Saccharomyces cerevisiae S288C: one gene and its partners. The gene in region 1 interacts genetically with each later gene. Each region holds a gene or a part of one and is shown in the gene's direction. Other genes may lie near its edges.

Region 1 (4,152 bases):
TGGTGTCACAGAGTCATCCCTGCTCCTGAACCTGTATCGGAAAACGCGACTGCAGCTGACTCCAGTGAAAAGCTTGCTGAACATGGAGCTAAGAAACAAAAAATATAAATGTCCACAGAGTGTTCCGTTTGATAACTTCCAACAAAAAAACCTGAGAATATATATATTTACATTTATATACTTAGTTGCAATTAGCTTTGTGCCCACTGAGTGCGGTTGCTAAATGTCTTATAGTCCCAAAGGATGCAAAAATCTGGTGTAGTATTCGCCCTTTGGGAGTGGCCTTAAACCCATATACGACTCTTGCTTTCCCATTCGAGTCATATTTCAAACCAATAGACCAAATACGGCTGAGATATGAATCTTCTTTAATGCGCCTCTCCACGTAATTAAACTGTTCAACGTCTCCAATCTCATAAAAGAAGGAGTCTGTCTTCGGCAGCCAATAATTTACTAGATTTATATAGCATTCAAGCTCACCCACTAGCGCTAGCCTTGGTTCGAACAGCTTTACGGAAGTTTTAACATCTCTATTGAAGTCACGCTTTCGAATGTAGGGGGGGTTACCGGTTAATATATCTATATGGGATGGATATTCATCGCTAGCTTTTGAGGACAATATATTATGTTGCACGAGCTTACCACCACTCACCTTGTTTTTCAGCATATTTTCTTTAACCAACTTAATTGCTCTTGTTGACACGTCAATGGCAGTGAACGTGCAATTTGCTATACCATGACTCAAAGCGAGAGCAATACACCCTGTTCCTGTAAACGTATCACAAATATGCAGTGGTATAGTATGCCTTGAAAGCATAGAGTTGTTTAGAGCTCTTATTATGGCCATCACCCATTCCTCGGTTTCCCATCTTGGTATAAGAACACCAGGCTTGCAAACTATGTCCAAGGCCCCAAACGGTTGCGATCTTAAGATGTACTGCAATGGGACGTGTTTGTATCTCTGTAAGCAAGCCCAGCGGATTGATTTATCCGGAGGCAGCTCTTCGGTGAGCCATTTGTACTCGAGTTTCGCTTGCTCGAGAGTCCTACATTCTGGAAGCAAAAGATGCAAACCAGGTCGTATTCTCGAAGCTTTTCTTATCAATGATGTAGATATTCGAGGCATATGTTCTTTCTAACCGTTTCTTTTTCGTTCCTACCATTCAACTATCGCTCCTTGTCTACGAGTTAAGGGGAAGAGAGTGCAGAGTTTCTAAAAGCACTTGAAAACGTAACAAGACATTGACCGTAGAGAGTCGGCAAAATAAAGTCGTTTATACACGTTTGAGTTGTGTGTATTCAACTATGGAATACATTGTTATAATGAGTATGTTGGTATAAAATAAGATGTGAAGTCGCTGGTTTGAGCACGTGATATACACCTGACCTATAATATTTCGTACAAAATTATAGAAGGCCATCGAAAAAATAGAAAATTTTTTCATTTCTTTTTCAAGAAATGAAAAGGCAATAGAGCATCGGCAGGTATGGAAAGTATTTAACTTGCAGATCAATCCACGTACTTATAAAACGTGTAAAAACTTGCTCTACGTTTATATGTTGGTTAGGTAGTTCTTGTTTGATAAGGTGTGTAGTTCGTTTTTATAAATCAAAGTCACAAAAAGTCCTTTTCCCCATATATATTAGGCCCGAACAAGCGTCTTATTTGATAACTGTTACGTATTTATTTTTTTGTTATTTGTTACCATATCTTTTGATAGAACATAATTAAAAATTATCCAAACTGAATTCTACATCTTCCAACAACAATAATAAACGTCCAAAGATGGTTAAAGAAACTAAGTTTTACGATATTCTAGGTGTTCCAGTAACTGCCACTGATGTCGAAATTAAGAAAGCTTATAGAAAATGCGCCTTAAAATACCATCCAGATAAGAATCCAAGTGAGGAAGCTGCAGAAAAGTTCAAAGAAGCTTCAGCAGCCTATGAAATTTTATCAGATCCTGAAAAGAGAGATATATATGACCAATTTGGTGAAGATGGTCTAAGTGGTGCTGGTGGCGCTGGCGGATTCCCAGGTGGTGGATTCGGTTTTGGTGACGATATCTTTTCCCAATTCTTTGGTGCTGGTGGCGCACAAAGACCAAGAGGTCCCCAAAGAGGTAAAGATATCAAGCATGAAATTTCTGCCTCACTTGAAGAATTATATAAGGGTAGGACAGCTAAGTTAGCCCTTAACAAACAGATCCTATGTAAAGAATGTGAAGGTCGTGGTGGTAAGAAAGGCGCCGTCAAGAAGTGTACCAGCTGTAATGGTCAAGGTATTAAATTTGTAACAAGACAAATGGGTCCAATGATCCAAAGATTCCAAACAGAGTGTGATGTCTGTCACGGTACTGGTGATATCATTGATCCTAAGGATCGTTGTAAATCTTGTAACGGTAAGAAAGTTGAAAACGAAAGGAAGATCCTAGAAGTCCATGTCGAACCAGGTATGAAAGATGGTCAAAGAATCGTTTTCAAAGGTGAAGCTGACCAAGCCCCAGATGTCATTCCAGGTGATGTTGTCTTCATAGTTTCTGAGAGACCACACAAGAGCTTCAAGAGAGATGGTGATGATTTAGTATATGAGGCTGAAATTGATCTATTGACTGCTATCGCTGGTGGTGAATTTGCATTGGAACATGTTTCTGGTGATTGGTTAAAGGTCGGTATTGTTCCAGGTGAAGTTATTGCCCCAGGTATGCGTAAGGTCATCGAAGGTAAAGGTATGCCAATTCCAAAATACGGTGGCTATGGTAATTTAATCATCAAATTTACTATCAAGTTCCCAGAAAACCATTTCACATCAGAAGAAAACTTGAAGAAGTTAGAAGAAATTTTGCCTCCAAGAATTGTCCCAGCCATTCCAAAGAAAGCTACTGTGGACGAATGTGTACTCGCAGACTTTGACCCAGCCAAATACAACAGAACACGGGCCTCCAGGGGTGGTGCAAACTATGATTCCGATGAAGAAGAACAAGGTGGCGAAGGTGTTCAATGTGCATCTCAATGATTTTCTTGATAAAAAAAGATCAACTTATTCACGATTCATTTATTCATCATACTTTTCACTTCAAAATACAGTTTTGTAGCTATACATATGTAAAGTAATAATGGTAGAAAATGCAGTTTACCAAAAAAAGTTCTAATTATGACGAAATCTTAAGGAAAGAGTAAAGCAGGGATTATATGCTGAAATTTCCACTGTATATATTTGCCACAGAAAACCATTTTTTGTATTAGGTATATTTAGTGCACCTTTAACATGTCAATAATTCAACGGAAAATTAACGAAGTAAATAATACATTAATTAGGAAAAATTTACATGAAAGTCTATAAGCTGTTTATAAAAAAAATATGCAGGGATAAGTGTCTATCAAATTGAAGAATGCCAATTAATTATGATTATCGTTCTGGTCTCTTTTTGTTCCCTTTTTGGCTTTGACTGCCAAGGTGTTTAACCAAGACTGTCTTTGTTGTTTCAATAATCTATCCTCCCTCCACTTCATACCATATTTCATCGGAATAAACATTAAGAAGTTGAAGAAAAATACCAGCGCACATAAAAATGTAAAAGTACCACCTACAGTCATCGCAGCTTTCATTTTGGCAAAGCAACCCATGAAGATGGTACTCAAACTGCACCTAACAAAGTTGAAACAACTACTTGCTGTAGATGATTTCGTTGGGTACAAATCGACCAATAACGTAGTTGATGTTGATAATGTACTCATAGCACAGTATGAACAGACAAATGAAGTAATTAAAATAGATTCGATCCTCCAGCCCTTATCTATACTCCAACCAAATAAAAGATAGGCTACGACGGCCAAGAAATTTTGGGGCAGAAGACAAACTAAACGGACTTTGAACATATTAATCTCTGCGTCTTGTGGAATCAACCCGTTAGCTTTGTCTTGCTCGAATTTCTTGATCTTTCTCTTGAAATACATGTCAATAATTCTACCTGTGAAGAAGGAACCCATTAAACCGCCAATACCACCGGGTAGATAACACACACCAATAATGACCAAATGATAGTTGTATGGCGCCACTGATAAACCGGATGAAATAGAGGAAAGCATTAACGTCCACATAGCAAATAAGAGCCCTGATGGAAATAAAGACAGAATAATTTCTGGCAATAC
Region 2 (5,387 bases), on another chromosome or scaffold:
TTTCTATGCTGCTTTTGCTTTGCACTATTGGATAGTGTCTGTAGTATCTAAACTGATTGCCTATCTCTTCTGTGCTGGCATCTTATTCGATGTATATAGTTCTTAATATCTAGTGAAAAATTTTTGACAAATTTCTCGAGACCTGAATCTTCGACACGCAAGAAAAAATTGAAAAATTAACGTGGACCCTGGGAAGCGATGAGCTAGAGAAGGTAAATACAGGGTCGTACGACGCAGAAGCATCCCAAAATTGTTGCAACAAGTATGGAATGTCACATTAGAGATTTCCCAATCTTACATGACTCTTTATTGCTGTTTTGTAGATAGCCTTCCATGTAAAATGCATTTGCCGTCACATTCTGTGTGCGGTTGCTGGGTGCTGTAAACAAGCTAAAGAAATTTCGCTATCGAACTTAAAGAACAACGCAGTACACTAGTTGGGAGTGAAAACAGTATCATAGAGTGTGTATGGGAGAGAGAAAGAGTTAGATACTAGTAGTATGGAAGGTGAACAGTCTCCGCAAGGTGAAAAGTCTCTGCAAAGGAAGCAATTTGTCAGACCTCCGCTGGATCTGTGGCAGGATCTCAAGGACGGTGTGCGCTACGTGATCTTCGATTGTAGGGCCAATCTTATCGTTATGCCCCTTTTGATTTTGTTCGAAAGCATGCTGTGCAAGATTATCATTAAGAAGGTAGCTTACACAGAGATCGATTACAAGGCGTACATGGAGCAGATCGAGATGATTCAGCTCGATGGCATGCTGGACTACTCTCAGGTGAGTGGTGGAACGGGCCCGCTGGTGTATCCAGCAGGCCACGTCTTGATCTACAAGATGATGTACTGGCTAACAGAGGGAATGGACCACGTTGAGCGCGGGCAAGTGTTTTTCAGATACTTGTATCTCCTTACACTGGCGTTACAAATGGCGTGTTACTACCTTTTACATCTACCACCGTGGTGTGTGGTCTTGGCGTGCCTCTCTAAAAGATTGCACTCTATTTACGTGCTACGGTTATTCAATGATTGCTTCACTACTTTGTTTATGGTCGTCACGGTTTTGGGGGCTATCGTGGCCAGCAGGTGCCATCAGCGCCCCAAATTAAAGAAGTCCCTTGCGCTGGTGATCTCCGCAACATACAGTATGGCTGTGAGCATTAAGATGAATGCGCTGTTGTATTTCCCTGCAATGATGATTTCTCTATTCATCCTTAATGACGCGAACGTAATCCTTACTTTGTTGGATCTCGTTGCGATGATTGCATGGCAAGTCGCAGTTGCAGTGCCCTTCCTGCGCAGCTTTCCGCAACAGTACCTGCATTGCGCTTTTAATTTCGGCAGGAAGTTTATGTACCAATGGAGTATCAATTGGCAAATGATGGATGAAGAGGCTTTCAATGATAAGAGGTTCCACTTGGCCCTTTTAATCAGCCACCTGATAGCGCTCACCACACTGTTCGTCACAAGATACCCTCGCATCCTGCCCGATTTATGGTCTTCCCTGTGCCATCCGCTGAGGAAAAATGCAGTGCTCAATGCCAATCCCGCCAAGACTATTCCATTCGTTCTAATCGCATCCAACTTCATCGGCGTCCTATTTTCAAGGTCCCTCCACTACCAGTTTCTATCCTGGTATCACTGGACTTTGCCTATACTGATCTTTTGGTCGGGAATGCCCTTCTTCGTTGGTCCCATTTGGTACGTCTTGCACGAGTGGTGCTGGAATTCCTATCCACCAAACTCACAAGCAAGCACGCTATTGTTGGCATTGAATACTGTTCTGTTGCTTCTATTGGCCTTGACGCAGCTATCTGGTTCGGTCGCCCTCGCCAAAAGCCATCTTCGTACCACCAGCTCTATGGAAAAAAAGCTCAACTGAAACAGATGTATAAATATCATATAATCGTATTGTTTTAAATCATTTCTTTATACCATCTATATAGTACTACTAGTATTTAATGGTGCCGTTATTACCCGCGCTTGATTTTCCTTTTTTTTTTTGATCAAAAGGATGGAACAGGCTGAAAGTAAACCAAAAGGATCAAAGTGCAAGCAAAGGTGCCACAGAAAAGTTTATCAAAAAACCATACCTAGCTGTGAGAGTTTTAGACTCTGTTTTGGTGACTGCATATCTATTCATAAATCGACACGAACTTTTCGTGCAGGATACATAATAAAAATAGCATGGCGGTAAATCCTGAGTTAGCACCGTTCACCCTCTCGAGAGGAATCCCCAGCTTTGATGATCAAGCTTTGAGCACCATCATACAGCTTCAGGACTGCATTCAGCAGGCTATTCAGCAGTTGAACTACAGTACCGCAGAGTTTTTGGCCGAACTGCTCTATGCTGAATGCTCCATTCTCGATAAATCAAGTGTTTACTGGTCCGATGCGGTATATTTATATGCACTTTCGCTGTTTCTGAATAAAAGCTACCACACTGCGTTCCAGATATCCAAAGAATTCAAGGAGTATCATCTTGGTATCGCTTACATATTCGGGCGTTGTGCTTTACAGCTTTCGCAGGGAGTTAACGAAGCTATCCTCACTCTTCTCTCAATAATAAATGTATTTTCTTCGAACAGCAGTAATACGCGCATAAATATGGTGTTGAATTCTAATCTCGTCCATATTCCCGATTTGGCCACTTTGAATTGCCTGTTAGGCAATCTTTATATGAAACTGGACCATTCTAAGGAGGGAGCATTTTATCATTCTGAAGCATTAGCCATTAATCCTTACCTTTGGGAATCTTACGAAGCGATTTGTAAAATGAGAGCTACCGTGGATCTCAAGAGGGTTTTTTTCGACATTGCAGGGAAAAAAAGTAATAGTCATAATAATAATGCAGCTTCATCGTTTCCGTCTACATCACTATCGCATTTCGAACCTCGTTCACAACCTAGCTTATATTCAAAAACAAACAAAAACGGCAATAATAATATCAATAATAATGTTAATACACTGTTTCAGTCGTCTAATTCTCCCCCTTCTACATCGGCATCTTCTTTTTCTTCCATTCAGCATTTCTCAAGGTCACAGCAGCAACAAGCGAACACATCAATAAGGACCTGCCAGAACAAAAATACTCAAACTCCTAAAAACCCTGCAATCAACAGTAAGACGTCTTCTGCGCTACCAAATAACATTTCCATGAACTTAGTGTCTCCATCCTCCAAACAGCCTACAATAAGCTCGTTGGCCAAAGTTTATAACAGAAACAAACTTTTAACGACTCCTCCATCGAAACTGTTAAATAACGATAGGAACCACCAAAATAACAATAATAATAATAATAATAATAATAATAATAATAATAATAATAATAATAATAATAATAATAATAACATTATAAATAAAACAACTTTCAAAACTCCAAGAAACCTATATTCCTCAACAGGAAGGTTAACAACTTCCAAGAAAAATCCAAGGTCTTTAATAATCAGTAACTCAATACTAACGAGTGATTATTCAATTACGCTGCCTGAAATCATGTATAATTTCGCTTTAATATTAAGGTCGTCATCACAATACAATTCGTTCAAGGCAATAAGACTGTTCGAGTCTCAAATCCCATCTCATATTAAAGACACAATGCCATGGTGTCTAGTGCAATTAGGAAAACTTCATTTTGAGATCATTAATTATGATATGTCCTTAAAGTATTTCAATAGATTGAAAGACCTACAACCGGCAAGGGTAAAAGATATGGAAATTTTTTCTACTTTGCTGTGGCATTTGCATGACAAGGTTAAATCTTCAAATTTGGCAAATGGGCTAATGGATACAATGCCTAATAAGCCCGAAACATGGTGTTGTATAGGTAATTTGCTATCATTGCAAAAGGATCATGATGCCGCAATAAAAGCCTTCGAAAAAGCTACTCAGTTAGACCCAAATTTTGCATACGCGTATACTTTGCAAGGTCATGAACATTCTTCCAACGATTCTTCGGATTCTGCCAAGACATGCTATAGAAAGGCGCTAGCTTGTGATCCTCAGCATTACAATGCATATTACGGATTGGGTACGAGCGCTATGAAATTAGGTCAATATGAAGAAGCGTTGTTATATTTTGAAAAGGCAAGGTCAATTAATCCCGTCAATGTTGTGTTAATCTGTTGTTGCGGTGGTTCTTTAGAAAAGCTGGGCTATAAGGAAAAGGCTCTACAATATTATGAACTAGCATGTCATTTGCAACCGACTTCCTCGCTATCCAAATATAAGATGGGCCAGTTGCTCTATTCCATGACAAGATATAATGTTGCTTTGCAAACTTTTGAAGAATTGGTGAAACTCGTTCCTGATGATGCCACAGCCCATTATTTGCTGGGTCAAACATATAGAATAGTTGGGAGGAAAAAAGATGCAATCAAGGAGCTAACTGTTGCTATGAATTTGGATCCAAAGGGTAACCAAGTTATCATCGATGAATTACAAAAATGTCATATGCAAGAATAAACGCAGGTTGGCCAAAACATAACAAATTGAAACATGTTAAATGTTTTCATAATTCTTTTTGTTCTTCGTTGTTTCATATTTATTTTTAAGTTAATGTAATAGTAATAGTTAATAATAATAACGTTAATGGTAACAATAATAATAATATATATATCCAGTAATTTGAAAGAAGAGGACATCATGTCTGCGGTTCCTGCGATGTACTTCTTGATAGTATCAGTGTCTAATTTGATTGTATTAATTCGTAAACTTTTTATTTTTATATACTTTATATCACTATATTATGTTCTATTAAATATTAATTATTAAGGTGTTTAAGTTGGTCAAGAAGTAACTAATGATTGCAGTTCTCAAAGTCTGCCACCAGGGTATTCAAATGCTGAACTTTCCAGGTAATCGCTGGTCTCAAATTGATCTTGTTCGATTGGATAATTAGAATTTCTTTTATTTTGGGTGTCATCCCATCCAAATTGATCTCTTCCCTCTTCCTCTTCAGCATCTCTTAACTGGGTTTGTAACCTAGCTTCTTCCAATAGCGTCTGTGCCTTGCTTAGAGGTATCGTTGGTGTGGCATATGAACTAATGACAGGGACGCTTGTATCAATATCAATAGTGGCCTTTATTATGGCTGACAGCCATGCCTTCATTTCAGATTTATTCTCAACTGCAAAATAGTGAACGCGAGGTTCTGTAAAGGTTAGCCCCTTTTTGGACCCCGGTTGCGGAGGGACCAATTTGAAACAGTATTTTCCTTTTCCTAAGCTCGCAGCGTATAAGGAAATGAGCCTATCATCATCACTGGCAGGTAAGACCCTATGTGCCGTTATATCTATCAGGCCACGCTCCTTCTCATCATTGGTATTCGTAAAATAAGAAAGCCTTGTTCCATGAAGTGTGAAAAACCGTTGTTTCCAAGTCCCCATAGCAC
Region 3 (5,716 bases), on another chromosome or scaffold:
TCAAGGTGTAGCATGTCCTGGACTCCACGTGCCATACCTTGACCGTCTTGTCAGCACTGCCGGAAACGATAACCTTCTGGTATGAATCTACGCTCAGAACGCTATCCGAGTGGCCTCGATACGTGGAAATGCATTCACCGGTTATGTAGTTCCAAACACGGATCGTCTTGTCGAGCGAGCCCGTAATCAGCTTTCTATCGTCAAAATATAATGTCTTGACGCCGTCCGAATGGCCGCTGAGCCTTCGTATTAGCTTCCCCGTGAATAAGTCCCATATACCTATGGTGGAGTCGTACGAGCCTGTGAACAAAAGCCTGTAGTTAAACTGGAGCGTTAACACACCATCCATGTGGCCCTTGAATTCCTGAATCCTGCAGTGGCCCTTTCTCCAGTTTGACTCCACTTTGAACCGTTCTCTGTAGATGACTTTCCAAGGTCGCGTAGTTTGCGTCTGGATATCTGCGTTGCTGCTAGATCCTGTACTATTCTGTTGTATCCGCGCACGTTTCATGTGCAAAAGAGGCAGCCCCCAGCCACAGTTGGGACATTTCCTGTCTATGTGCTGCTCGCACATGTGGTACCATACCCTGTCGTCATCCGCGAGCTTCTGCCACTTGCGGCACACTCTCGTGGCGTTGCAAAGAGATTGGCAATCCAGATAACTCAAGATCTTCAGCGACAGCTCCTGCGGCAGAATGCTGATGAAGTCGATCTTGATCATGTGTGTAACGAGTGACGAAATGTAGGAAAGCTGTGGGAAGCAACTCGTCGATAGGATCCCATCCAGAATCAGCTTCCGTATCTTGTCATTGGAATTGCTGTACTTCGAGATAATGTGGTGGATGTCGGATTGCTCCTGCAGGGGTAGCTTCGCGATATTAGCATTAATCTCTTGCGTTCGTTTCAAATCCTGCTTGTAGCACGCTGTATGAGTTGGTGAGAACTGAATGTCCGGGTTATGCCGATAGCAGAACTTGGTGAAGTTATATTCTGGCAATGGCTGTACCCTAGTGCCGCTGTCGTTTGTCGCCAAATCGGGTGATGACGATGGCGACCTCGTCGCCATCGTCATCTTCTTCTTACCCGATGATCCTTGTGCCAAATCATCGCTACTGCCCGTAATAAGCAATCTCTTTAATGGTGGCATCATCGCCGTATCTGTCATTTCACTGCTGTTATTACTATTACTATTGTCAAGGTCGTCCTTGTCCTTGTCCTCGAAACTCATCATCCTTTGCCTCTCTCTCCTCATGCCCTTCTCCTTTATAAATCACCAAACACACACCCCTTTACCGATACTCAAGCCTCTTCTCTAAACTTCTTTAACTGCAGTCTTCTCTTACGATACAGACTGCAAGGTTGCTTTCTTCTTACGCTGATGAAAAAAAATAAAATATCTCCGCGCAAACTGTGGCTTCCCGATCACGTGCTACAACCTCATTTCTACATTAAAACACACACATTGTACCACACACGCCAACACACATATACACGCACAATCACTCCCACACATATACAAACACACGACATATGAATATATATAGTACACGCGCCAATCCATTAGTTTTTTTTTTGGGATACAGACGCACATCATGGCTTCTTGCCCGTTTAGTGCAATACAATAGCCTTGTGTTGCCGTGCCACACCCTGCAGTTATCTCTCCCAGATCTGTCTTTCCATCCCCTTAGTTGCTATCGCTGCAGCCATTTGTTCAAAATCGTTATCACCATCATTCATCATCACTTATCATTATCATGCACATGCTGCCAGCCGCTGCGGCTGGCTATGTGTTGGTAGTCATCGAGTCGGAAGCCCATCATCGGTGTGGGTGTGAGGCATTTCTAGAACGGATTTTGGGTGCCGTTTGTCACGTGGGACGGGATGCGGTTTTATTTGACGCAAGTTCCATGAACATCATCGCACGGTTTCGCAACAGTTTGGGACTGTACATGTACAAGATGGGTTTTCTCCTTTGCTTTTTTGTTTTGTTTTGTTTGATTTGATGGTTGGTAGTTATTTTTTTTTTTTTTTTAATTCAGTTGGCAGCAATGGAAGGGCTTTACCATAGCACCGTATCAGATGAAGTTTGCTGACCATCTAACCGAGTCTGCCATCCCGGAATGGAGGGACAAATATATTGATTATAAGGTCGGCAAGAAGAAGCTTCGCCGCTACAAGGAGAAGCTGGATGCCGAAGAAGAGCAATCCAGCTCCTACCGGAGCTGGATGCCCTCTGTGTCGGTATACCAGACTGCATTTCAGCAGAGAGAGCCCGGCAAAAGTCGCAGCGACGGAGACTATCGCTCCGGACCTGCGTTCAAGAAGGACTATTCTGCTTTGCAGAGGGAGTTCGTTGCTGACTTCATTGAAGACTGGTTGATCTCGTTCCAGTTGAGTAAGTGTAACGAGTTTTACCTTTGGTTGCTAAAGGAGTGCGACAAGAAGTTTGAGGTTTTACAGTCGCAACTGCACTATTACTCGCTGCAGAAGAATTATGAGCGCGACAACTTGAACCGGTCTAGTTCGAATGTTGACATGTCCACGAGTCTATATGCGGCAGGGCTTGCTGGTCGTTCTGACTCCAGGGTCAATAGCATCGACAGCGATAGCCGGTCTGTTATGTATGGGTCAATGCCCTGCACCAAAGAGGCCAAGAAGCCGCGTTTGTCGCTGCTAGCGTACTGTCAGAAAGTTCTTAAGGACAATAGGCTGCTGCCATCGTGGCCCAAACGTGGATTTTCTCTGCTACAGGACTTGAGACAGGATGCGTCCTCAAGAGGCCGCGAGACGTTTGCTTTTGGCGCTTCTTTTCTGGAGACTATGACGACAACCCAGGCTAGAAACTTGTTAAGCAACGCTATAATCGAGTACTATCTGTACTTGCAATTGGTCAAATCGTTCCGGGATATCAACGTCACCGGGTTCCGTAAAATGGTCAAGAAATTCGACAAAACGTGTCACACAAGAGAGCTGACCACGTTCATGTCGTACGCCAGGACCCACTACACCCTTTTCAAGCACGCGGATGCCAACGTGCAGTTGGTGGCACAGAAGATGCAACAAATAACCAGTTCGCAACCAACACCCACTTCGGAGCTCTCTTCCGCCCAAAGAGACAAAGAGCCCATCACTTGGTTGGAAACGCAGATCACCGAGTGGTTCACCACTGCGTTGACCAATTCGCCTAAGGACAGGAAGCACAATACCCATAAGTTGAAGAAATTGACCATTCAGTACTCTATCTCCGAACAAATGGTTCATAGAAACAACAGATCGATTGTGCAGATGCTGGTTGTCGGGCTGGGCATAGGTGTGTCAATGACTTTGATCACTTACACTTTGTATTTGGGCATTAGCTCTGAAGAAACGTCATTTACGCACAAGATTCTGTTCCCACTGTGGGGTGGTTGGTACATGGTTTTGTTGATCGCGTTTCTCTTTCTTGTTAATTGTTTTATCTGGCATAGAACCGGGATTAATTATAGATTTATTATGCTGGGTGAGATTCAATCCAAGAATGGTACGCAATTTTTCAACAATGATTTTGCCACGAGTAAAATTCCGCTCAAGTTGTATTTCTTGACATTCTTCATAGTACCTTGTGCGGTCTGTTCCATGTTAAGTTTCGCTTTGGAGAAGCTCACACCCTTAGGCTTTTTATATATTGGTATTGTGTCTTTCTTATTTTTATGTCCCTCTGGTCTAATTCCATATTGGGACAAAGTTGTACACACTAGAAAATGGCTGGTGGTTACTCTTATTAGACTGATGATGTCTGGTTTTTTCCCTGTTGAGTTTGGTGATTTCTTTTTGGGAGATATTATTTGTTCGTTGACGTATTCTATTGCCGATATTGCCATGTTCTTCTGTGTTTACTCTCATACGCCCAACAATCTATGTGGCTCTTCACATTCCAGAGCAATGGGTGTTTTATCATGTTTACCAAGTTATTGGAGATTCATGCAATGTTTACGAAGATTTGCTGATTCCGGTGATTGGTTCCCTCATCTTTTGAACGCGGCGAAATACACTTTGGGTATAGCGTATAATGCCACACTTTGTGCTTACAGATTGTCAGACCGTTCTGAACAAAGGAGAACCCCTTTTATCGTGTGCGCTACGTTGAATTCGATCCTTACTTCCGCCTGGGATTTAGTTATGGATTGGTCCTTTGCTCACAATACTACTTCTTACAATTGGTTGCTAAGAGACGACTTGTATTTAGCTGGTAAAAAAAATTGGGAAAACGGCAGTTATTCATTCAGTAGGAAGTTAGTTTATTACTTTGCTATGATTTGGGATATCCTCATTAGATTTGAGTGGATTGTATACGCAATTGCTCCTCAAACAATTCAGCAGAGTGCTGTGACGTCGTTTATATTGGCCCTTTTGGAGGTTTTAAGAAGATTCGTTTGGATCATCTTCAGAGTCGAAAATGAACATGTTGCCAATGTTCACCTATTCAGGGTTACCGGTGACGCTCCTCTGCCTTATCCAATTGCGCAGGTCGGTGATGATTCTATGGATAGTAGTGATTTGGGTTCAAAAGCCTTTTCATCACTTAACGACATACCTATCACGCCTTCACATGACAATAATCCTCACAGTTTTGCCGAACCTATGCCCGCTTACCGTGGGACTTTCAGAAGAAGGTCCTCCGTGTTTGAGAACATTTCGAGATCCATTCCTTGGGCACATGCAACTGATTTCCAAAGACCAACTGTCAATACCGTGGATGATAGGTCTCCCGAAACAGATAGTGAAAGTGAAGTGGAAAGTATTATGTGATTTGGGCTGGACATGATATTTGCTATTGTTAACCTGCTAAAGATGCTTATTTGAGGAAGTACAAAGAAAAGAAAATAAAAAGTAAAAGAAAAAAAATGTAACAAAATAATATTATGCATAATCTATATCTTCTTTGTAAAAATAAGAATTTATATTTTGAAATATGATAGATTTTTTTAAGATAATCCGTTGAAGCAACAAGAAAAATCCAAACCAATTGAATTATGGAGTGGCAAACTCTTGCACTTTTGCATAACTTGGAGGATGTAGCCTTCTATAAATTGCCTTTGCCGTCCAGACAGGAAAGATCGAGATGAGTAATATAACTAAAAGTCCAGCATAGTAATTTACGGTAGTCATATAACCTAAATCAAAATAATCGCCAAGAAATGGAACCGATACAATGTAAAATAGTAAAGTAGCAATTTCAGTGACGAGCATTGTTTTATTCCATGTGTAGATTTCTAAGGCAACCATTATTAATTCATTTACAACCAAAGCAGTGAAGCTGATAGCAACCATCCTTGTGAAATCAGTATCTAATAAACTCGTAAAGGCCTGAGAAAATAATTGAATTACAGAACCTTGGAATAGCGATAATAGAACCCAAACAAAGAACGTCTTATATGATAAGCTCTTACCTTCAGTCAATTCTTTGTACAATTCTGGGTATATTTTAGTCAATGACTCTTCGATATCGTGATCAAGAGTTAATGAAAAGACTGGAGCCATTGTATAGCAGGTAGCATAACCGACCATTAACCAACCTTGATAAAGAGCAATAGGTTCGAACAACGAACAGATGGAATATACCGCTTGGCAAATTGCAATGATTAAACCTCTATGCATGACAAATTGAGCCAATTTAGCAGATCTTTTGTAAGAGTTCCTACCATGCCATAATAGTAATTCGGTGAGGTGACAAAAT

Evidence for each region.
Region 2: mutations in YDJ1 (region 1) and CDC27 together harm fitness more than expected from each alone (negative genetic interaction), as found in Saccharomyces cerevisiae (2 studies listed by BioGRID).
Region 3: mutations in YDJ1 (region 1) and SYG1 together harm fitness more than expected from each alone (negative genetic interaction), as found in Saccharomyces cerevisiae (2 studies listed by BioGRID).

What each region holds. Positions count from the first base shown.
Region 1 is NC_001146.8:504,732-508,883, reverse strand, and holds YDJ1 (type I HSP40 co-chaperone YDJ1), read left to right. Parts: upstream 1-1,786; coding exon 1,787-3,016; downstream 3,017-4,152. Other genes in the region: tRNA 1-methyladenosine methyltransferase subunit GCD10, read left to right, coding at 1-108; MTQ1 (S-adenosylmethionine-dependent methyltransferase), read right to left, coding at 182-1,126; AQR1 (Aqr1p), read right to left, coding at 3,400-4,152. UniProt on the Saccharomyces cerevisiae protein: Probably involved in mitochondrial protein import. Is also required for efficient translocation of pre-pro-alpha-factor. Involved in heme regulation of HAP1, as a component of the high-molecular-weight (HMC) complex.
Region 2 is NC_001134.8:66,241-71,627, reverse strand, and holds CDC27 (anaphase promoting complex subunit CDC27), read left to right. Parts: upstream 1-2,182; coding exon 2,183-4,459; downstream 4,460-5,387. Other genes in the region: ALG3 (dolichyl-P-Man:Man(5)GlcNAc(2)-PP-dolichol alpha-1,3-mannosyltransferase), read left to right, coding at 501-1,877; BOI1 (Boi1p), read right to left, coding at 4,810-5,387. UniProt on the Saccharomyces cerevisiae protein: Component of the anaphase promoting complex/cyclosome (APC/C), a cell cycle-regulated E3 ubiquitin-protein ligase complex that controls progression through mitosis and the G1 phase of the cell cycle.
Region 3 is NC_001141.2:264,187-269,902, reverse strand, and holds SYG1 (Syg1p), read left to right. Parts: upstream 1-2,079; coding exon 2,080-4,788; downstream 4,789-5,716. Other genes in the region: ubiquitin-binding SDF ubiquitin ligase complex subunit MET30, read right to left, coding at 1-1,252; YIL046W-A (uncharacterized protein), read right to left, coding at 1,430-1,594; aminophospholipid-translocating P4-type ATPase NEO1, read right to left, coding at 5,011-5,716. UniProt on the Saccharomyces cerevisiae protein: May function in G-protein coupled signal transduction.